Canis lupus familiaris: one gene and its partner. The protein of the gene in region 2 purifies or fractionates together with the protein of the main gene of each other region. This does not show direct contact. Links are inferred from orthologs where the notes say so. Each region holds a gene or a part of one and is shown on either strand. Other genes may lie near its edges.

Evidence for each region.
Region 1: the proteins of EEF2 (region 2) and EEF1A1 fractionate together in Homo sapiens (co-fractionation; 3 studies listed by BioGRID). This does not show direct contact. The link is inferred for Canis lupus familiaris from reciprocal best matches to the Homo sapiens genes EEF2 and EEF1A1.

The regions. Positions count from the first base shown.
Region 1 is NC_049233.1:35,820,475-35,824,769, forward strand, and holds the start of EEF1A1 (elongation factor 1-alpha 1), read right to left. Parts: upstream 2,806-4,295; intron 2,691-2,805; coding exon of another isoform or gene 2,582-2,690; intron 2,519-2,581; coding exon of another isoform or gene 2,418-2,518; intron 1,872-2,417; 5' UTR 1,838-1,871; coding exon 1,694-1,837; intron 1,431-1,693; coding exon 1,251-1,430; intron 1,137-1,250; coding exon 840-1,136; intron 739-839; coding exon 588-738; intron 502-587; coding exon 245-501; intron 167-244; coding exon 1-166. Other genes in the region: uncharacterized protein LOC119874198, read left to right, coding at 2,418-2,518, 2,582-2,690, 2,806-3,136, 3,463-3,708. UniProt on the Homo sapiens protein: Translation elongation factor that catalyzes the GTP-dependent binding of aminoacyl-tRNA (aa-tRNA) to the A-site of ribosomes during the elongation phase of protein synthesis.
Region 2 is NC_049241.1:55,976,981-55,980,358, reverse strand, and holds part of EEF2 (elongation factor 2), read right to left. Parts: intron 3,335-3,378; exon of another isoform or gene 3,270-3,334; intron 3,194-3,269; coding exon 3,015-3,193; intron 2,808-3,014; coding exon 2,702-2,807; intron 2,259-2,701; coding exon 2,145-2,258; intron 1,915-2,144; coding exon 1,776-1,914; intron 1,607-1,775; coding exon 1,411-1,606; intron 804-1,410; coding exon 545-803; intron 112-544; coding exon 4-111; intron 1-3. UniProt on the Homo sapiens protein: Catalyzes the GTP-dependent ribosomal translocation step during translation elongation.

The DNA of each region.
Region 1 (4,295 bases), on a different chromosome or scaffold from region 2:
CATCCCCAGATTTCAAGAACTTGGGACCATCTTCCAGCTTCTTTCCAGAACGACGATCTATCTTTTCCTTCAGCTCAGCAAACTTGCAGGCAATGTGAGCTGTGTGACAATCCAGCACAGGTGCATATCCAGCACTGATTTGGCCTGGATGGTTCAGGATAATCACCTTGGAGGAAAAAATTGCATTTAATACATTTCAAACAGGATCTAGCAAAGAGAACATTGCCACTCTTAAGTGTGTTACCTGAGCTGTGAAGCCAGCTGCTTCCATTGGTGGGTCATTTTTGCTGTCACCAGCCACATTGCCACGACGAACATCTTTGACAGATACGTTCTTGACATTGAAGCCCACATTGTCCCCAGGAAGAGCCTCACTCAAAGCTTCATGGTGCATTTCAACAGACTTTACTTCAGTTGTAACATTGACTGGAGCAAAGGTGACCACCATACCAGGCTTAAGAACACCAGTCTCCACTCGACCCACTGGGACAGTACCAATACCTAAAATATTTAGAAGCATCGTGTCAGATACCTTCTGTGAAGAACAATCCATAAATCGTATTTTTAAATGGCAATGTTCAACTTACCACCAATTTTGTAGACGTCTTGGAGAGGCAGACGCAAGGGCTTATCAGTTGGACGAGTTGGTGGCAGAATGCAATCCAGGGCTTCAAGCAGTGTGGTTCCGCTGGCATTCCCATCTTTACGGGTGACTTTCCATCCCTTGAACCAAGGCATCTAAAAAAACAAGATTGTCCATTAGCATTCCCCAAACTGTTGTCATTTAGTGTCAACATATGCCTCTTCTATCACTTCCTCAAAGCCTTGAAGTCACTTACGTTAGCACTTGGCTCCAGCATGTTGTCACCATTCCAACCAGAAATTGGCACAAATGCTACTGTGTCGGGGTTGTAGCCAATTTTCTTAATGTAGGTGCTGACTTCTTTAACGATTTCCTCGTATCTCTTCTGGCTGTAGGGTGGTTCAGTGGAATCCATTTTGTTAACACCAACAATTAGTTGTTTTACACCCAGTGTGTAAGCCAGAAGGGCATGCTCACGGGTCTGCCCATTCTTGGAGATACCTGCTTCAAATTCACCAACACCAGCAGCAACAATCAGGACAGCACAGTCAGCCTTTAAAAGACAAAAAGACATCCTGTTAAATAAATGTTCCTCAAAAAGATGAACTCCCCCTTTTTTCCCATACAAAACCCAAGCCTACAGTTATTTTCAAGTAATCCTACAAACCTGAGATGTGCCTGTAATCATGTTTTTGATAAAGTCTCTGTGTCCTGGGGCATCAATGATGGTCACGTAATACTTGCTGGTCTCGAATTTCCACAGGGAGATATCAATGGTGATACCACGTTCACGTTCAGCTTTCAGTTTATCCAAGACCCAGGCATACTTGAAGGAGCCTTTTCCCATCTGTAAGGATTAAGAATGGTTACTTGGTAACTTAAACACAAACTTCCAACTTGAAATCCCTAACTCCTGCTTAAGCAGAAATGCGGATTCCACTTTACAGTTAGGTAGTTCTATCTCCCAAAGTTACATAGATAAAAAACTCTTCAGCAAGCACAAACAATCTACCACAAGCAGCAGATTCTGATAGACTAGTAACTAGTTTTGGGGAAGTTGACACTGGCCGACTTTTTTTTAACGATCTCTCATTAAGTTAGTATACCAACCTCAGCAGCCTCCTTCTCAAATTTTTCGATAGTTCTTTTGTCGATCCCACCACATTTGTAGATCAGATGGCCAGTAGTGGTAGACTTGCCCGAATCTACGTGTCCAATGACGACGATGTTGATGTGAGTCTTCTCCTTTCCCATTTTGGTTTAGGTTTAGCGGTGGTTTTCACGACACCTAAATTTTAGGGTAGGAACAAACCCTTTTAACTACTGTCCCGGAGGCTTGAAAATAAGCCACGACCAAACTCGCAGAGACCAAATTCCAAGAATTACAACCAGGGCCAAGCTGGCCCAACTCTCGTCTCCACCCACCAAGCGTGGGGTTAACTCCACCGCATAAAATCCCCTCCCCCCTCCGGGGAAGGCCTGCTTGTAAGGCGTTGAGGCGGAATGGAGGTGCCAAGACGGCGTTCGGTACACCGTAGGGTCACAGGAAGCAGCGGCCTAACAGGGAAAGGCCCTTTTCCTTTGTGTGGGTGACTCACCCGCCCGCTCTCCCGGGCCGCCGCGTCCTCCATTTTGAGCTGCCTGCAGCAGGGCCGGAGAGCGGCCATCTTTCCGCGCACGCAACTGGTGCCGAGCGGGCCGGCCTCTCCGCCCGGCGTAGGACGGTACATCGCGGCGCGAGGCCCGGCACCAGAGCCGCCCGGCCCACTCCACGGGACTCTCCCGCGTCCGACGCGGCGCCCACGGCTCGTGGGCCTTCCCCGCCTCGTCGGACATGTGCGCCGGGACGAGCGGGCCTCGTCGCCGCCCTCCGCGCCTCGCGGCGGCCCCACACCCCAAGAACGCGACGACCGCGGAAAAGCCCACCCCGTTCAAGTCCTGACCAACCTCCGCTCAACCATCTCGACGGAGAAAACCATAGCGGCCTTCTTTTGGTAGGTCAAACGTCTGGAGGCTTAAACCACTGTACGAGGGCAGGCAAGAAGGTGCGGCGGAATTCGCACGCGGCCGCCACAACACCCAAGCCAGGCCTCAAACCAACCACGAGGCAAAAGGGGTCCTAAAAAAAGGCGCAAGGCCTGGAACCTTCCCACCCACTCACAATCCGAAATTCGGGGTCAAGAACATCGTAAAGTGGCTCGGTGGCGCGGCCGTTGTAAAAGGCACGCGAGGGCCGCTGGCAGCTCAAAGAGGCCAGGCCCGCGGGAGCCACACCCGGCACTCACCTGTGTTCTGGCGGCAAACCCGTTGCGAAAAAGAACGTTCAAGGCGGCTACGGCACTTATATACGGTCCTCCCCCACCCTCGGGGAAGAGGGCGGAGCCAGCACACGACACCACTTTCCCAGTTTACCCCGCGCCAACTCCATCAGGCACCGGTTCGGTCGCCATCCCCTCCCCCTACTGCTCGGGGACCGTGGGCGATGTGCGCTCAGCCCACTAAAGAGCGCACATCTCCTCGCGCATGCTCCTCTTGACCCCGATGACGGCGAGAGTGAGTGGGTGGGGAGGCGGGGACGAGCTTTCCGCTCGTTCTATGTTAGTGAGAGTTTAACGACGGTCCCTGGGATTCCCCGAGGCTGAAGCGAGTCCTCCTTTGTATGAATTACTCTCAGCTCCAGCTGAAGGGGCGGGCGGGGGGGCGAGGAGGCGGCCCTGCGGGGAAGTACTGAATCTGCCCTCTACGGTTCCTGGTTTAACTGCAAAGATGGTGTGGCGATTGGAGTACGCCTTCCCTCCGCAGTATACCTCCAGTTCTTAACCTGGTCCTCTCCAAGGTCCAGGACTGCCCCTTTGAGCCGCTTCCTCCGCTCGTCGCAGGTCCGCCCTGGGCTGGCTCCTCCCTCGCCCCTGCCTTCTCTTCCTCTCGGGGCTGGAGAGTACAAGGCCCGGGCTCCCAGGGCAGCGAGGGACCCGAGGGGCCGCCTTCACAGCCGGAGAATCCGCAAGGGTTTCAACTCGGTGGCCGTGACCCGGACGAATGTGCTCTTGGGCTAGCCTTTTGGCTTGTTCCAGTCCGAGCCCGCTGCTTTTACCGAAGCCCGAGTCACACGTTCACCCCATATGGTACTCCAGACGTCTAGTTCTTCAGTTCAGAATAGATTTCAATCCCACAGTCTGCCTTTTAACTCTAGTTTCATTACGTTATAGAAAGACCCTATGTGTGTCTACTCTCGTGGTACATTTTTTCTACAGTGTACACTCATTTGATTGCTAGCATGAGCAACCTAAAAAGAATTTTTCAAATTCAGTCTTTCCGCATGATCTCAAGTAGAAACTAAGATCTACGGCTTCAGCAAGCTTATCCACCCAATTTCCTATCCCCAACACTTGCTGCGAATCACTGCTTCTTAAAGGTGGCCTAGCCCATTTAAATAAATTAGTTCATTTTCTGTTAAATGGATTTTAACTCCATTTGAGCATAAATTTAGGGCGAAACCGGATGAGGCCTTTTTGGTTGGCAATCAGGGCAGACTGAGAAATACTTTCAAGAAGGAACTTTTATTTTTAATGAGCTAGTTACTATATCAGTATGTCTCTTCCATGTGTGGAACATCACTGCAACTCCTCCAGCCAATCTGTTAACAAATGCTTGAAACCTACTATGTGTCCAGTGCTAAGCGAGTTCTGTGGCATGTGCAAAATAAATTCTC
Region 2 (3,378 bases):
CACCTTGATGGGAATGCACGCATGGTCCTCCTCCAGGTCCTTCAGACAGATCTCCAGGTGCAGCTCCCCAGCCCCCGCGATGATGTGCTCCCCGGACTCCTCAATGATGCACTGCAATGGGCCAGGAGTTAGGCTCTGGGCACGGACCCCAAGACACTCAGAGACCCCAATAAATTCTAGGAACAGGTATAAAGCTCCAGGTTTCCCTCCAGATAGAGAAGACCAGACCCACCAGAAATGGGTTTTGTGGCAACTCAGGGCTCGTAAAAGGCAGCAAGAGCTGTGTTTTTGCTATTCTCGTTAACCTCACAATCTGCTCCACAGCCAAACCATAAAAATAGAACTGGTATACAAAGAATTAACTAGATTTCTCAGAAAAAAGCCACCACCTTGTCACACAGTAGCTCTGCCAGGGAAAGTGTATGCTCAGCACACACCAGACTTTCCAAGATTTGAATATCCGTAAATCTGTGACAAGCCCTATGTAAGCCACAAATTAACCACTTGCACCGCGGTGTTCCCATCTGCCAGGGCACCCACCTACCTGCACCATGGGGTCCGACTTGGCCAGCCGTTTCAGACCCTCCACTAGCTTGGGAAGGTCAGCTGGATTCTTTGCCTCCACAGCAACCCGGACAACGGGGCTCACGCTGAACTTCATCACCCTCATGTTGTGGGCATGCTCAAAGGTGGTGATGGTGCCAGTCTTCACCAGGAACTGGTCCACTCCCACTAGACCCACAATGTTCCCACAAGGCACATCTTCAATAGGCTCAACATAACGGCCCATCATCAGGATTGTTCTAGGGAAGACAAAAAAAACCCTCCAGATCCCGAAATGACCCCAAAACACCCCTTCCTTCTAAAGCCTGTGGCCATCCCATCCACCTGAAATGCTGATGTGAACCCAACTCCCAGAGCCTCAGGCCCTAGCCCTAGTTTCACCTTATCAGCCCAGTTCCTGTGACAATAAGTCCCAGCTCTCTTACCCCAAAGCAGAAGCCACCTGCTCCTCCCCGACTCCCCTATGTAGGGCTCCACACCCAACCTAGCACTGATAGGACTGTCACGGGAACCTGAGAACCAATGAAAATCAGGGCTGCAAGAAGCTGGAGAGATGGAAGTTCACTCTTCCCACTACCCACACCAGGAGCCAGGGAATGGTGACTACCACTAGCCTCTCGAGACGGCTCTGCAGATGCGTGCCACCACCCTGACCTTAGGGCCAGGTCTGTCCAAGTCAGAACTAGCGCAGTGCGCCTCACCCAGACAAATCACTCCCTCCCTCAGCTTCAAGGGTCCTCCACCCTTCTCTGGACCACATTATGTCTTGTCACCCTCCCTGTGGAAAGAGATAATCTTGGATATGGACCAGACTGGGACGTACCCAGGAGCTGCTGGGCACCTCACCTCTGGATGGGCTTCAGGTACAGGTCCTCCTTCTTCCCAGGGGTGTAGTTGGGCCCCATGATCCTGACTTTCAGGCCAGTGGACACCAGCCCCGAGAATACACGACCAAAGGCGTAGAACCGACCTTTGTCGGAGGTTGGCACCATTTTAGAAATGTACATCATGAGAGGGCCTTTGGGGTCACAGCTTTTAATGCCTGTGAAGAGGAATTCCCAAAACAAAACATGTGATTCCCTCAGAGCTCACCCTCACAGAACCCTGTGACCTGGACTTGCCAATGAGCATCACCACCTGACCACAGCCACAAAAATACTTAGGCCTCTGCCCAACAATCTAACCCCAGGACGCAGGTGATCCTCACATACCCATGGCTGCCTCGTCGTCTGGGGGGCCCTCATACAAGAGCTCACAGCGGTATTTCTGGGCTGTCACAGGGGAAGGCAGATGGATGGTGATCATCTGCAGCAAAGCATCCCCGGCAGGTAGCCAGCGGCGCATCACAGCCTACAGGAGAAGACAGGGAGGTCAAGCAAGGCCCAAAGCCCTCAGAATGCCATGCCCAAGGTCCTGGTGAGAGGCACTTAGATTCTGAGCTGCCCCTCCTGGGGAGGTGCCAACAACACAGATCCCCTGACCACCCTGTTGGTGATGGGGACATGACTGGAAGATATGACAAAGAGCTCCAGTCAGTGCAAAGCTGGTAGGCCCACCCCAAGAGGCACATCCGCATTCACCTTCAGAAGTGGTTTGCCTTCCTTATCTTTGTCTTCACTGTCCAGCTTGATGTCCAGCTTTTCAATCAGCTTTGCGGTCTCCTCTTTCTTGAAATTCATGATCGCATCAAACACCTGACAAGTCACAAAAACAGGAAGATGGGGGATCCCTGGGTGGCGCAGCGGTTTGGTGCCTGCCTTTGGCCCAGGGCGCGATCCTGGAGACCCGGGATCGAATCCCACATCGGGCTCCCGGTGCATGGAGCCTGCTTCTCCCTCTGCCTGTGTCTCTGCCTCTCTCTCTCTCTCTCTCTCTCTGTGACTATCATAAATAAATAAAAATTTAAAAAAAAAAAAAAAAAAAAAAAAAAAAAAAAAAAAAACAGGAAGATGGGTTCAGGAATGTTACTGGAAATGTGCAGCTGCTTCCTACCAGGCAAACCTCACCCTCCTCCAGCACCCACCTGTCAACCCAGCTCTGCCCAGCCAGTTAGGTCAGGTAACAGATCCTCCGGGAGCCACCAGGCCCAAGGACAGCCCAGGGGACGCACATCCATGAAGCACACTCAGCAGCTCACCTTGAAAATAGGGTCCAAGATGAGCTGGCAAAACGTCCGCGGTAGCTTCTTGCCGTCAGGGCTGGTGGCTGACTTGCTGAATTTGCCGTTGGCTGGATCAAAATACCTGGCAGAGGAGTACAGGAGTATTTCACCAACTCAACGATGGTAGATGGGTTGGAGAAACAGGAGACCCAAGTGAGTGAGGAAACCAAGCTGGGCAGAAGGACCCTACAGACGTTTGGTGGCCCTTAGTCATGTTCCCACCACTGCAGGCAGGTCCCTGCCCCGGCACACAGGTACCAGAGTGCCCTGCACCTCCCCCAGTACTCACCGGTCACCCCACAGCTTCTTCATCATGTCCTCCACTTTCTTGGCCCGCTCAGCAGGCCCCAGCTGGCCCTCGCCCTTGGCAGCAAATTTGGCCACATACATCTCTGCAAACTGCTTCAAGGTAAAGGCCCAACCGTGGAGTCCAGACCCAAAGCCAACGGTCCCAAGTACAGGGTCGATCTGTGAGGGTCAGAGAACACTATGAGCGGAAGTAAACAGCTGTACAGAAAGCACAAGAGTCCCTGGGCACCATGGGCCTCAGACGTCAGTTTTCTTCAACAGCCATCAGGTCAAAGTGAAGAAATTTTAGTCATCACTTACAAGGCCCAACTCTACGCCATCCCCTCTGGAGGAGCAAGGAAAAG